Diceros bicornis minor: one gene and its partner. The protein of the gene in region 2 interacts with the protein of the main gene of each other region in a pairwise test. Links are inferred from orthologs where the notes say so. Each region holds a gene or a part of one and is shown on either strand. Other genes may lie near its edges.

Region 1 (7,101 bases), on a different chromosome or scaffold from region 2:
ACATTAAGAGTAAGCAGACATTTCTGACATGTCAGAAGGAAGTGGAGTCCTAGGGACAGGAGGGAAGCCGGGGGGGTGGGTAGGGAGGTGACTCATGGAGACCGAGGAGAGACCATCCTCAATGGACCTCAGGCCAGCAGCATCCCAGGCAGCCAGCAGGTCCACCTCCCAAGAAGCTTGGTGGCGAAAGGAAGGCAGAAGGCTGGATGGAGCTTGGGGGGCGGGCAGGAGCAGTGGGCTGGACTTGGACTTGTTCATGTACTGAAGAGGGATGGAGCAAGGTTCTAGGTGATGTTCTGGAGAAGGGCTCCAGAATGGAGGGCTCTGGGAAAGGCCAGGGCCAAGGTCAACCCCAGGATCTGGGGACAAGGGAACAGAGATGTTTTTGGTGTCCTGTGTACTCACACCTGGGGGAAGGCTGGAGCTAACAACACTATGTGCCAGGCATCCTGCTGTTTTAACTGCAGTATCTCATCGAGATGCGGGCGCCATCATGGTGCCCCTTTTGAGAGGAGGAAACAGTATCAGAGAGGCTGACTTCCCCAAATCTCACTGCTAAATCAGTCAAAATTCAGCCTATGGCACACTGCCTCGCTCTGTCCACTAGGATTTCATAAGTGCCAGGAACTGGAGATGCTTACCCAGGCTTTCTCTCATCTACACTTCACAACACACCAGTGAAGTACGCACCATCACTTCCAGTTTGGATAAGGAAATGAAGGCTTAGGGAAGTTAAGTAACTAGCCCAGGGTCACTGTTGGTGGCAGAGCTGGGATTCCACCCACAGTCGGTCTGAATCCAGAACTTGTATCCCTAACTAGTACATACTGTCCCTACTCAGAGGCAACTTGGTCCCTACTCAGAGGCAACTTGGTCTTTTAGGATGACAATAATCCCAGGATCTCGTGACCTTCAGAGACCCATGGCAAGCCCCAGCACTCTGGGCTTCCACTCAGGCTCCCAGTCTGCTGGCTGACTCTTCCTCCTTCGTGACCTCTTATGGAGCAGCTGGGTACTGAGAGAGAGTGACGACCAGATACCAACCCTCCCCTCGTTAGACAGCCCTCACTCAAAGATGACAACAAGGAAGGAGCTTCTCAGTTTTTATTAACATGAGTCTTTAAAAACAAGCATCCATACCAGTGTGAGGGGTGAGGGTGGGAGAAAAGAGAAAAGAGGGGAGAGCAGGGCAGGGGGAAGAAATTCTGCTCTATTGGTAATAAAGCTCCAAGTTCATGCCATCATGGATTTCATCTGAAGTAAAGGGGTTAAGGAATCCTCACTGTGGGCTCCATCCCCACCCCTCTCATCTCTCACACCTGGGTCAAGGGGAACTGAGGACTCAGCCCAGGACCAAGGAAGCCGTTTGGGACTGGCTCCTTTTGATTTGGAGAGAATCCAAACTATAAAAAACGTTCCTGTTCCTTCTGCACAACAGACATGCCCAAGTCTCACTCCACCCTGACCTCCTCTTCACACCCGGGCGGAGCTCAGTAATAAATATTTTGACCTTAAAGTGTCTTCTAAGCTGAGTCAAAATACCTCACACGTCTACCGCCCACCTCCCCCAACAAAATAATGACATGGCTCTCATTTTCTAAGTTCTTACCATGTGCCACACACTAAGTTAAACACGTTATGTGCATTATGTCACATAGACTCCGGTATTGAGCAAAAAGAACCAAGTCTGGGTATGCACACTCTTCCTCAAGAAGTCACACAAAGGATACAGTCCCCCAGAGACACGTGATCCTTAAAGATCGTGTACCTACGGGGAAAGAAACCTTTCAGACAGACGCCTCAGGCGGCTCTTCACCCCGGAGGCAGGCTGAGGAAGCCCTGCTGTAAGCAAAGGGCAGCCAGCAGCGCACCCCCAACCAAAACCTTCTGGCCCAGTCCTGTCCGGCCCCCAGCTCTGCCACTGCACTCACCACTTCTTAAGGACGATCTTGTTCCAACGGGTGCCAGTTTGGGCTGCGATCAGCTTCTTAAGGTCCCCGATGGTGTCATCCGTGCTGGGCGCAGAGGAGTTAAGGAAATGGAAGGCGGCGGGAAGTAGAACGCGGAAGAGGACATTCCAGGGCTAAATGCACGCTGCCAGGACCCCATCCACCCCCTCTCCCGGCTTTAACTAAAATCACCCCACAAAACAGGCTGAGTTGCCTGGCTCATGCCAAGCTCCCAGGGACCACTGCCTCTCGGCCGCCAGTGGATACTTGCACTTAACGCGGACCTTCTTCCCCAGACGGTCGTTGCAGACAACCTCGATCATCCTGTCTGCAGCTACACAGGGCGGGGGGTGAGGGGCCCCAGAGTCGGACTTCAGGGGTCTCCCAGGCCCCAAGACCCCCGGTTACTGAGTCTTACGTTCGCCCTCCCAACCCCCAGACCCGAGTCCTCCCGGGCCCCAGGTCCCGTTTCCCAGGATCGCAGACCCCGAGCAGTCGCGCCACCCCCTCCCCGCCCCGCCGCCATTCAGGTCGCCCGCAGGCCCGGCCTCGCCTCTCGCCGGCCCGCAGACCCTTGACGGCCGGGTCCCCTCAGCCTTCCCCGACTCCGAACCTCTCCACCTGGCCCCCTCACCTCCAATCGCCTGGAACCAGCCGACGCCACAACCTCCTCGCTCGAGGGCAGAGCCAGGGCCAGAATCGACGCTGAGAGCCGGAAGCGGAAGTGCGCCGCCGGAAGCTCCCGGCTCTGCTCCTCCCGGTGTCCGTCAACACCGGGCCGGGTCGTTCCCGGCCCCAGGCCGGGCTTTGGGTTCCCGATCCTGGGCTGGAAGACACCTGCCTTCGGTGCAGGGGGCCAATTGGGGGTCCCGGGCTGTGCGGGGCTGGGGAAGGGGCACCGAGGGAGAGTCAGAGGTCAGGGGCCAGCGCCCAGCCGTTTGGAAGCCGTTAATTGAGGCCCTTTCGCTATGGGGAGACACCGACTGTGTGGCGTCTGGTGGGGACGCCAGGGAGGCTCGGGGGACATCCCGGGGGGAGGGGGTGACCTCTCGTTCCTGAGCCTGACGATTCCTCTTATTGTAGCTTCGGGGCCATGGAGAGCCTGGGTCGAGTACTGTAGTCATGGCGTCCGGCCCCCTGCCTTCATTCAGGGCGGGATGCCTCCTATTTCGGCCCCCCCCCCCGGGATTCCTGGGGTGCAGACCACAGTCCACAAGCGAAGGAGCCGCCTGATCCTGGCCTGGAAACCAGCACTTATTAGATAGGACGTTGCACACCAACCTACAACACCGGGAGGCAGCTGGAAAGGGCACAAGTGCAAAACCTCCCAGGGCTCTCTTCCAGGAAGGTCGCTCCCGCCCGGCAGGGGGCGCCTTGTACCAGATCTCAACCTTGCCTTGCAGCCCCAAAGTAGCCCCCCTGGTGTGGTTCCCCAGGGCCGGACAGGGGCCCCCCCTCTCTAAGTTCAACCGAACAGCTGCTAATGGAACTGGTCAACTGTTCCTTGTCAGCAGGCAGGATTGTGCGGTTTGGGGAGCCTAAAGGGATTCACTCCCAAGAGGGGCCACCACTTCTGAATCACCCAATCCACCTTCTCAAACTAGGATGTGAGATTAGGCGGAAGACGTAATAGGGAAAGGGTAGACGCTCTGTGACCCAGTTGGAGCTGCTCTGCCTTAGGGAGCTGGCCCAAGAGACCCTACCACAAATTCTAGGCTCAGGGGCCTTCCTGCCTCAGAACTTTCCGTGGTTCCTCGATCCTCTTCAGAGTCCCTCAGAGTGGGCTTGAGAGGGCAAGGAATCTGAAGGGAAAGCTTATTCACATTGGAGACACAGGCTTTGGATCCAGGCAGATGAGTCGAAACCCCAACCTCACCCCTTCATATTAAGCTGTATGGTCACAAGCAAGACGCTTCCACTCTCTGATTCTCATTTTTCTCATCTATGGAAAGCGGGTAACAATTCCCACCCTAGGATTGTAGTAAGGATTGATTTGGGACCAGCCTCTGACAATCCTCTAATAGTTTGCAGAAGACATATGGGGCAAGAGGGGAGGTCAGAAGGTCAAGGGTGAGCTGAGGGGATTGATGTGCCTGAGGAAGTTTGGAAGGAGCACATCTTTGCATTCACATAGAAATACTGGGTCGGTATTTCTGGGTCAGGGCCGGCCCTGTGACTTAGCGGTTCAGTGCGTGCGCTCTGCTACTGGTGGCCTGTGTTCGGATCCCGGGCTCGCACCGACGCACCGCTTCTCCGGCCGTGCTGAGGCTGCGTCCCACATACAGCAACTAGAAGGATGTGCAGCTATGACATACAACTATCTACCGGGGCTTTGGGGAAAAAAAAATAAATAAAAATTATAAAAAAGAAATACTGGGTCACCCAAGGTGTTGATGGTGGTTGCCACTAGATGGTGGAATTGCTGAGGCTCATTTTCCTCTTTGCTGCTTTTTGGTGTTTTCCCAGATTATCTGCGATGAACATATGTTACTTTGGTAATTGGGAAAAAAGTAAATGTTAGTCTTTTTTTTTTTAAAAAAAGAAGTTCTAATTTCTCGATGTTTGATTCAAAGATAGCTCAAGCACGGGATCGTGATGCTGAGTTACAGGCTGGGGCTGATTGGAAGGGGATGGGGAGTGCTGCTGAAGGGGGAGGAAAATAAAGTCTGGGATTGTTGGGGGCTTGGGCTCCATGGGGAGTGGGGGGATCTACTGGGGGGCCTGCCAGCCCCAGCTGGGCTAAGCCATCCTGAGGAGGGAGTAGGGAGTGGGCAGTGAGAAGTCCCAGGACTAGACAGCACTGACTCCCTCTCCTGGACCCAGGTGGGAGGGGGAGGAGCCTCAGGAGACAAGAGACCTTGTCCCCCACCCCCTACACACACCCTGGTACTTATAATTCTGGGCTTCGCATGAAGGGACTCAGTGACTGCCCTTTGAGGGGCTAGGGCAGCCCCATCACTCTGTCTGGGCGGCAAACGGATCTGCTGTCAGAGCTGCTCCTTCTAGGAGGAGGAAGGTGCTTCTCAGAAGGGAAAAGTGCTGGGTCACGACCCAAGTTGCCAGCTGGCAGGCCCCCTTTGCCCTCTTGTTTCCTGGGATTCTGACCCAGAGGATCAGAATGCGGGGATCTCTTCTCTCCACTGCTGTGTGCTGATGGGGCAGGAGATGGTTCTAAGGAACCGGTGTAACTGAGCCGGGGGCAGGGACACCTGGGTTCTGCCAAACTTAAAGGCAGCCATCCCACCCAGGGTTCACCAGAGGAGAAATAATCCTAGGGGTGGAGCGAGTTGCTCAGGAAGTCCTTTCTCCCAATCTCTTAGCAGGGCAGCAGGCCTTGGAGATATGGCAGTGAGCAAGGCTGACCTGCCACCCCAGAATTCAGTCTGATAGAGGAGGAAGACAAGGAAAGAAGGAAACAAGTGAATAGGTCCTTGCAATACAGCGTGTCAGGTGCTGTGAGGAGGAAGCCCAAGACGCTGGGAGCAGAGAAGACATTGCCCCTGCATGATGGTGGGGGCTTTCCAGAGGGAATCATGACCATGCAGCACTGTGGTAGAGGCCCAGGATCTGGCACCAGAGAGATCCATGCTGGGGCCGGCCTGGTGGCATAGTGGTTAAGTTCATGTGCGCCACTTTGGCGTCCCGGGGTTCAGCCCGGGATCCCAGGTGTGGACCGACACACCACTCATCAAGCCATGCTGTGGCGGCGTCCCACATACAAAATAGAGGAAGATGGGCATAGATGTTAACTCAGGACCAATCTCCCTCACCAACAAAACAAAACAAAACAAAACAAAACAAAACAAAACAAAACAAAACAAAACAAAACTAGAAGGACCCCCTAGCCAAGCGCTGTTCCTTCAGGAACACTGCTTCTCAGCCCATTGTTCATTCGTCTTGTTCTGAGCTGGCTGCACGTGGTGTAAACCAATAAAGACTATTTAAAAAAAAAAAAGAAAGAAAGAAAGATCTGAGCTTGTGGCCCTGGCAAGTGGCTTGATCTCTGTGCGATTCTTTTGGTCTTTCCTTCCACAGGCACAAGACGGCTGCCAAAGCATGAAGCACTTTTTCTGTGCTCTTGTTTGAGGAGGAATATCAAAGGGGTTTGATTTATTTTGTTGTTTGTTTTTTTTTTTTTTTTTTTTTTTTTGGTAAGATTAGCCCTGAGCTAGCATCTGTTGCCAGTCTTCCTCTGTTTTGTAAGTGGGATGCTGCCACAGCATGGCTTGATGAGTGGCATGTAGGATCCAAACCCGCGAACCCCAGTCCTATGAAGCAGAGCATGAAGTCAACCACTATGCCACTGGGCTGGCCCCACTTTTTTTTTTTTAAGGTACTACTTCCACACGGCAAAAATGCAAGCAGCACAAAAGTGTATATACAGCAACATAAAGTCTCCTTACTCTCCAGACCCAGCCTCTCCCCAGGGGCAACCACCATTAAAAGTCTCCATTTCTGAGTCTCTGCATCTTCAAACATGTGTGATATGGAGTCTCCCAAGAAGATAACAAAATTTTTCAGATGTTAATAACATGTTCCAATGGAGATAGGGACTTTATATTTTCAAGTACATGCAATGGGTTAAGTTATGTCAAAGAGCAGAAACAAACAACTTAGTTTTTATATAGGCCTTTATGTATAAAGCAAAACACATTATAAATTGTGTATGCATTTTATTGGAGAGAGAGAGAGAGATATATATATCCAGTGGGATCAAACTATATGCACTTGTTACTGCCCAAGGGGGCGTCTTCTGCCTGCTGCAAGACATGCCAATAGTCAAGAGGCAAGGTGGTAGGAGAGAAAGGACTTTTTATTACAGCTTGCTAGCAAGAGGGAAGACGGCCAACTCATGACCTAAAAAAGCCATCTTACAGCACAAAGATTACAGGCCAGTTATATAGGGGGCTGGTCTCCTGGTGGGGGAGGCATCTGGTCTCTGGGTGGGGGCATCCATCTGATCTCTGGGTGGGAGCAGATATCTGTTCCTGATAGTCTGTTTAGTTCCTGATAGTCTTTTGTTTTACTGGATATGCATCAGAGACCGGAGCAACGCCCTATACCCAGATCTTTCAGTTGTCATTAATGATGGCTATCAGCATAGCCTCTCTGCCCGGGGGTCATCACATTCCTAAGGAACTCAAAAGAACAA
Region 2 (8,514 bases):
TATGGGGGCAATAGAAATTATAAGAATTATTGCATTTTCTGCCTTTGGTTAACTGTTTTAAAAGCCCTGAAGAAGGAAAATGACAAGCTCAGGTCAGCCAATTGTTAACTTAAAATACACTGTAGAGTCAGAGGCCTCCTGTAGTCACAGGGAAGATTGTGTTGAAAATCAGACCCAGGATCTAATTTTAAGAGTAGCAAAGCTACAAAGGAGACTGAGTGCATAGCCTCAATGGTCTCCTATGCTAAAGTTCAGAACCCTGAGAAGCACATCTCTAGTGTATTTAATATACTGTCCTTAAAATCTATCCTCATGTCGCTTATTTTTTTATTTTATTTTTATTTTTTTTGCTGAGGAAGATTCGCCCTGAGCTATCTGTTGCCAATCTTCCTCTTTTTGCTTGAGGAAGATTTGCCCTGAACTAACATCGGTGCCAATCTTCCTCTATTTTGTATGTGGGTCACCGTCACAGCATGGCTGCTGATGAGTGGTGTAGGTCCACACCCAGGAACCGAAGCTGGGCAGCCAAAGCAGAGCACACTGAACTTAGCCACTAGGCCACAGGGCCAGCCCTGTCACTTATTTAAATATATGTGTATCGTTGAAAATATGTAGTGTAGTTGTGGTTTTTAAAATTTTGCATAAATGATATGTGTTATAAATTACATTTTCTTTTTTACTCACCATTAAATTTTTAGGTCTATTTATATTGCTACATGTAAGTTTAGTTCATTGCTTTTAACTGATGTGCAGTATATAGCCATCTTACTTATCCATTGCCCCAGTGATGGACATCTACATTGTTGCCAATTTTTTCTTCCTGTCATGTCCAAATGTCAAAGCATCCTCACACATGTCTCCTTATGGGGTTAAAGAATTCCAGTGGGGTATCATCCCATTCTTCACACGGCCAGCTTCTCCTTTTCCTTTAGCCTCAACTAGAATGTCACCTCTGCCCAGAACCTTTCTGTTACCATCCCAGCTAAAGCAGGCCCTCCTCAGTTATTCTTTCAGTCCCTAGTTTGTTTCCTTCATAGCACATATAAAAAGTTAAAGTATTTTGCTTATTTCCATTTTTTTCTCTCTCTCCCACTGGAACCTAAGCTCCATGGAGCCAGGTATTTTGTCTGCCTTGTATACTTTTGTACCCCCAGCACCTAGGATAGCGTTTGGCATAAGGAGGAGCCCAATATGAATGAATGAAGAAAGAAAGGATGAATAGAAGAAGGGAGAAAGCTCTTGAGAGGAAATTTGAGGATGATCCCAACTTGGCTGACTGAGTCCTGAGGAAAGAAATGCCAGTAAGAAATTATCTATAACGGGAAATGATTGGATACCTTAAGAACTGTGGATTCTGATACTAAAGTTTGTTTTTGTTTCTGTGTTATACCCACCCTCCAGTATCCTCAAAATTTTAAGCCTATTCCTCATAAAAGCTATGTGTTAGTAGGCTTTGGAGAACAAAGGGGAAGAGGTCTGTGTCAACAGTTGGTACAAAATGGTTATGACATAAAGATAGCAACTGAAGATGAGACAGTGTAAGGGAGCTGAGGGATAGAACCAGGAATGGGAATTTGGAATAAGAGGTGACAGGAAGCTAGGAGAAAAGTTAACACCCTCTCCAAAAGTCATTAGAATACTCTAAAGGATACTGTACTTCCTATAATTGCATGAAATAGAAACTTGATATTTGTACATTAAAAGAAAGGGCAACACCAGATGATTCGAAGACAAATATATATTACATATTTTCATACTTTTATGTAGAGTACCATAATGTTCATAAGAAATTTAGGATTTAGGTAAATATATTTTCCTTCAATGGTTTCATTGGATGGTTGATTGTTCAGACTATGGCAGTGGGCGTTAAGAAACTCTAATTTGCTAACCTGGCTCCAAAGCCCTTTATTTGAAAGTAGCAGAAATGACACGGAGATTGGGATAACCAGCCTATCCTATTCCCTATAGAACTTCTAAATTAACTCACTCCCCAAACCCTTCTCTCCCCACCTCACCTACACACTGCAAAGTGCATTGTGTATCAGGGAATTCTTCTAGCCCTGTTTGGTGGGACTGAATCCTGCTTAATAGTGTGCTCTGTGAATCTAATCTCCTTACAACCAGTGTCAGGAAACGCTGGAGAAACCCCAGATGTTATCCACCTAAGGTGGCAGGCAGCATGGGACGCATGGGAGACCCTTTGTGACTTGCTGTTGACAGTGAATAAGGCACACTGGGACCTCTGATGATCTTGATGTGCTGGAGATAAATTGACCCATTGTTTCATTATGAGCCTTCGATGATATATTACCTTGGAAATTGGCTTTTTTAAGGCAAACTCCTTTGGTCTTGCTGAAAGATGGACTCAGTATGTTTTTCCCTAATGACTAAGTAAAGTAAGTTTCTAAGTACTTTGTTGTAGGAGTTGAAGCAGTCAGTAGAATGAGTTAAACAAAAGAGGTTTGGAGCAAGTAAGGCCTGAGACTGAAACTTGGTTCTGGTACTTGATAACTGTGACCTAGAGCAAGTAACCAATGATCGCTTTATAGGGTTGTTTAGATTATTAAATGAGATTATGAATATAAAGTAGTTAGAACATAGTGAGTATTTAATTGATGGATAAAAATAAAAAAAACTAATTGAATACAGATCGGTAATTATAAGCAACTTATAACAGAGGCTATAACTCTCTAAAGGTTTGTTTACATCTTTGTGAAGATTTATATAGATGATAAGCTTTTATTAAACTTAATTTACACAATTTAGACTTTTACTCTGGATCTCTGCTTTCATAGATGACTATATTCTATGTCTGAAGTCAAGCATGTAGAATATCTGTGCTAGAATATATGATAAGAATATTCCTCTGGTTGTTCTTCAAAGCTAAGATTCTTTAAACATGGTTTAACTTAAGGTTTTCTTGGACATATTTATTCTTGTGTAGAGATGAAGCTACTGGATTAGGCAGTTTTTCCAGTGTTGGTAGTGGATTCTCAGAAATTTAGACCTTTTCATTAAGTCTTCTGACCAATGGTGTTCATTTTCCAGGTAACTGACTTAATAGAAATAGTTGAGGCTGCCATGTAAGATTGTTAAGCTAACTCGCGCAAGGACTCATTCTACTTTTGATTTAACCACTTTGGAACTTTAGCAAATGGCCAAAAGCAATTTACGTAAACAACGTAATGGGCACTGAGATACCAAAGAATATAAATCAGGTCCCTGTCTCCAGTCAAAACACAGAAGCCACACAGAGCAGTTAGGAGCACCACAGTGCTGCATCACACGTCATAGACACACTAGGGATAGGATATTCTCAACCTCACTTGGATCACTACACACTTTGAAATGTTAGTCCTTTTGGTGGCACACAAATTAAAATACTCCAAATGACACTAAAACAAGATAGCAGTAACTACAAAGCAGAGTCCACTATTGGGTAACACTGTTTTGTGACATATATAAATGCCTCTGTAGGTGGCCGTTCCACTTGGCTGCCTTTTAACTTATGTTGCTGTTTGAGAACTGTGCACTGTCCTGACCATATTCTCTTACATCCTCACAAGACTAAGATCTCTCATACTCCAGCCAAAAGGGGAACTATCTTTGGTGCCAGCTTGAATTTATGCCTCTATGTGCAGCAAGCTGAGCCTCATTTTACCTTGCAAGATGGCACAGTCCACTCAGCTCAACATTCCATCTGATAGATGTCCCTGAAACGGCATGTGTAATCAGTTGTAGAACCAATAAATATCACTCTTTGGGCAAAATTGGTTGGCTTACCTGGGTGGCTCCAGAGACACCAGTGTGCCTTGGCCAACTGTTTGAGGACCTTATCTTTAACTGGAGTAGTCAAGAGAAGGAGACGGGCGGGAACCGATGTAGTCAGGGACAGCATCTTAGAGATGGACCTTGAAGGATGGGTGAGATTTAAATTTGTAGATGCAGAAATGGTGGCTATTCCAGATGAGGAGAATAGTATTGTTTGTCTCATTCTGCAGCATAAAAAATTTTCATTTCCAATTGTCTTTGCAACTGCACTTCACTTCTTGAAGTGGGGTACAATCTCCATGAGAAATCACATTTTGAAGTGTAGCACAATCTCGAGAATTCCATTTATCCAAAGTACACAGCACAAGTTTCTATGATGTTAGATCACTAAATTGCATTGCCCTCCTTTCACTTAACAAGGTATAAGAGCTCAGGTCTCCCACATGCTATTGGGTTTATGCCACAACAGTCCAACCCTGCCCTCCCAAATTTGATTTCTGGCTTTCCTTTTTATCCAGGGAATCCTGGTCAGAATACAGAGACCCCTTGGCACTTCTCAGTGCTAACCAGACCCAACCCCTTCCCAGCATCCGGCACTGTCAACTTTTCCCTCATTTAAGCCCCTCTCTCCCTTGCTCTCTCTGTACCGTACTCTTGGTTCTCCTCTACTTCTGATCATTCCTTCTCAGGCTCTTTTCCTCTGTGCCCTAAAAGTGTTCCCAAAGGCGCAGACTTGGACCCTTTTCTCTCTCCTCTACACACTCACAATTGGGGAACTGTCTAGGGAGTCTTAGAACTGCAAAATACTTTATTTGAGCTAAGCAAGCCCCTTAGTGGATGCTCACCAGCTCTCAGACGTTACTTTGTCTTGATTAAATAAAACCGACCCACAGGGACAAATAACAGGGAGAACTTCGTTATGGAAACTTCCAGCTACCATATCTGCTCGGGAGGCAGGGATTATAACAGAAAGAACCTTGTAAATAGTGTCAATTGAAACTTCCTCGTTTTCTGTTGCGTCCTTCTGATTAGGAGCACAGGCACTCAAAAGATAAGCACCCTCGAACATGTTTTCCGAGACATCCTCTTTATGCGACTCCATTTTATACTGGAAGCCCCAAGCGGGCTGGACTACACGTATCGGGTTCACGGTGTGGGGGCTCATCTCCTGCGTGTCGGCTCTGTCTGCAGTTGAGGGTTGGCAGTCAAAGCGCGGTGGTGTGACCCGCTTGAGCCGGAGAGCAGGAAACGAGGCCTCGGCTGCTCTGCCGAGGGATGCCGCCCTCAAGGTAACTCCACCTGAAACAGCAGACAGGTGCCACAGGACTAGAGCAGGCCGCAGGCTTTCCCTCCCAGCTTCACCCACATTGTCCCTGAACGAAAACAACCTGAGAGGTCGCCCGTGCCCCACCAGGCCTCTGGGCGAGAACGTCCCGGACCGCGCAGCCGCAGTGTGGAGGGCCAGGCCCACCCCGGAAGACACACGGAGCCCCGCCCCTTACGGGGAGCGGCGGGAGCGCGCGAGGCTCTGTCACGCAGTCGCGTCCGCGCAGCGTAGGTGACGCTAGAGGCCGCCTCCGGGGTTGAAGTCAGAGCATTGCCGCCATTTTGTCGAGTGTTTGTCGCAGCGGCTGGAGAGAGAAGACGGCGGTTTGGCGACGTTTCTCGGTCAAAGGGCCTTTTGCCTTTGTGGAGGTAAGGTTTCGTGTGGGGTGTGCTGGGCTGGCAGGTTTCCCAGTGTCTTGTCTCGAAGCCAGGAGTGGGAGAAACGACCGGGCTCCGGGCCTCGGCCACTGGGGTTCCTTCGGGGCGCCGGTCCGCTGCTGGCCTTTAAAAGCTAAAGTTGCCCAGGTGTCGTGGTAGATTTAGCGTTCTGGGGCAGAGGGCCGCGGTTCTGCCGCTGGTCTTTTTCTGAGGGCCCTGGCCGCTCGCGTCGCGGCTCTGGAGGTCTGGGCTTGTTCCGCCAGCGAGAGCGAGGACCTGTCCGGAGACCCTCGAGAGCCGCCCCCAGGGGTGTGTTGTCGGAGGTTAAGTTCTCTCTTGGTTGCTTGGTCTCCGCCGTTTGTCGCCTTTAGGGGCTGTTCCCGAGTCAGACAGTTTCTCCCTCCCTGGGGGTGTGCCAGAGGCCCTCGCCAGGTGCCCCGGGGCGGAGAGGCGGGGTGGGACTGGGCGTCCAAGGAACGGCAAGTCCGCAAGTGCAGGTGCGGGAATTTAGCTCGTGCTTGTGAGACGTGGAAATGTGGGGAGGTTCGTCCTTTGTGCGACACAGCTTTTTTCAAGTTGGAGCATACCATTGTTGCAGCAGGTCTGTTTTTCTGATGCTTTTGCATCGTATTATCGTTGATTAAGTAGACGCGATGTGCTGCTTCGATCCTTGGGAAACAGCCCTCCCAACTGACCGTGCCAGCCACCTGGTGTTAAAGCTGTCCTTGTATGATTTCGCTCCATACACACCCCCTACAGGCTTCTTGTTACCCATTAAATGCATTCCTCCTGGAGCGATCTAATCATAACTTTAACCTGTTTCGATTTTTTTAAGCCATATACAGAGCGTGAAATTGTCAGGTATTAAAGGGCAGTAGAGGATCAGATTTCTAATACGGATATGTATACATTTCGGATCCATTGTGCCTGATGTTTTTGTTTAGAATCGAGTGATTCTAGCGCGTTGGATTCTTTATTAATTAGAGGTAAGGTATGTGAAGGAACCTTATCCGTAGAACATGAGTTGGGGATTCTCTTTGCCTCCTGAGAAAATATTTCTAAACATTTCGGGGGGGGGGGTCTTCCCAACAGCTGAATTAAATTTAAAGTAGCGAATTTGACTAGAGAAATAAAAATCTTTGGCTCTGCCAAGATGCTTATTCTTATTTTAATATTTACATATTGATAACTTTAAGAATTCTGCCTTGTTAGAGGTGAGCTGGCTGTGGCAGACTGACAGAAGGAGAAAAAAACTAAAGCAAACACATGTTTTGCAAGAACTGCGTAATAATGGATGGTCATAATAATAACGCTGTTATCAGATGTTGTAATTTTGCTTGCAGATGCTTAACTGTGCTGTTTTAAAGAGTTCCTAATGTGGGTGTTTTTTTTTTTTTTTTCAATTTTGGTAATTGAAGGAAGGATCAGAAGAATTCTACTATAAATAAAAAATTCTTTTGGTGGCTCTTCTGATGGCTTTTTGCGTCAAGTTAATTTGAAGTGTCATTCATTTCAGTTTCCCATATTGAAGTGACTCTACATCAAACCAAAATTCTCAGTTAATTTCCAGTGAAAAGTTTAACAGGAGTTTTGGGATTTTTGTTTGAAGTGACCAATGCCTTCTTCTCGTTTATTTAAGCAAGGTAAAAGAGAAGCTACATTATCAGAAGGGTGCTTGATGGGCATAGAATTAGAATCAGCAAGAGAAGTCAGTCAAAAGGTTTGAATATTTGGTGGTATCAGGCACTAAAGGCATGATACATAATTTTCTTAGGGAATACCTCCCAGGAGAATTGAAGCTGCCTCATTTCAAAGTCTTTTTTTAATCCATGTGAAATTGTGTAACTGTTTACATGAGTTTGCTTGTTGAATAAGTCATTTGGGCAAGCTGAAAGAGGTTAACTAAGCTGGTTTTGCTCCATTTTACCTTTTTTCAGCTCCTTGCTGAGTTGTGAACTCACTCTGTTTTAGCAGAGTTTGGACATCATTGTTACAAACTTAAGTGCTTTGCAAAGTATTAAGATGGGGAGAGGCAGATAGGGATTACATTGTTTGAACACAGATAGGGAGCCTGGAAGGGTACTATGTATAAGAGGTTGTAGATGGAGTCCAGGAATTGTCACCATTATCATCTGATTTGATTGTGACTATGTGCATCCTTGTAGGTTGAATTCTTCTTCAGAGTCATCCCAGATCTACAACAAATATGTTTTAATTTTAAGAATAACTGTAGGATAGAGAAAATGAGTTCATAAAATAATCTTTATTGCCTTTCCAGTTTCTCTGTTGAATACTGTGCTATTGTTTTGGTTTTTTTTTCCTTTCAAAGCTTGGAGTCATTTTGAGATTGAGAAAGAAATTCTCGAGTATTTGAAAAAAAGAAGCTCTTTACTTTTAAAACAAAGTCACCGCCTATATTTAGTATCCTTAAGTGTTTCCCTGACTTCAGTTATTTGTATTACAGTATTTTGCCAAAGCTGCATGACACTTGTGATATTATTTCTCTTTAAATTAGCTCACATCTTAAAGTTAACATTTTTGAAAAGAAATCATATCAATAACTTAATTAAGAGATCAGTAATAATTTACCATAAAAAGGAGGTAATGATAAAATAAAATCAAAAAAGTTATTAATTTCCAGCTAGATATTGTTGTCTGCTGAAGGCTCTAAGCCTAAACCCTGTCTCTCTTTATTTTTAAAATGGCAGTTAGCAAGTGTTAGTTGAAGACAAGCAGCAAGCTGAGAATTTTTCCAGAAGAATTAAAAGAAACTGTATTAAGGTCTCACAGTGTTGTCATCATTTAGTACTAGATCTGTATGCCACTTATAATCATGTGACGTACCGATGGACTAGTGCCCCATGCCTTGAGAAACATTACCTACAAAGATTTTAGAACCTGTATGACTTTTTGTGCTGGGTGTTAATATTTCAATAGCATTAATGTATAATGTCTTATTTACTAAACATGACCATCTGTAACCTCCACAACTCACTTTGCATTTCCATTAACAGATGCGGCATTCCAAAAGAACTCACT

The links. The genes of interacting proteins can lie anywhere in the genome.
Region 1: the proteins of CLK4 (region 2) and UBL5 interact in a two-hybrid assay, tested with the Homo sapiens proteins (2 studies listed by BioGRID and IntAct). The link is inferred for Diceros bicornis minor from reciprocal best matches to the Homo sapiens genes CLK4 and UBL5.

The regions. Positions count from the first base shown.
Region 1 is NC_080769.1:9,228,461-9,235,561, forward strand, and holds UBL5 (ubiquitin-like protein 5), read right to left. Parts: upstream 2,689-7,101; 5' UTR 2,584-2,688; intron 2,284-2,583; 5' UTR 2,273-2,283; coding exon 2,217-2,272; intron 2,016-2,216; coding exon 1,932-2,015; intron 1,769-1,931; coding exon 1,731-1,768; intron 1,255-1,730; coding exon 1,211-1,254; 3' UTR 1,090-1,210; downstream 1-1,089. UniProt on the Homo sapiens protein: Ubiquitin-like protein that plays a role in cell proliferation and sister chromatid cohesion by associating with spliceosomal proteins. Participates thereby in pre-mRNA splicing by maintaining spliceosome integrity.
Region 2 is NC_080740.1:91,392,820-91,401,333, reverse strand, and holds the start of CLK4 (dual specificity protein kinase CLK4), read left to right. Parts: upstream 1-5,339; 5' UTR 5,340-5,466; intron 5,467-6,991; exon of another isoform or gene 6,992-7,118; intron 7,119-8,489; coding exon of another isoform or gene 8,490-8,514. UniProt on the Homo sapiens protein: Dual specificity kinase acting on both serine/threonine and tyrosine-containing substrates.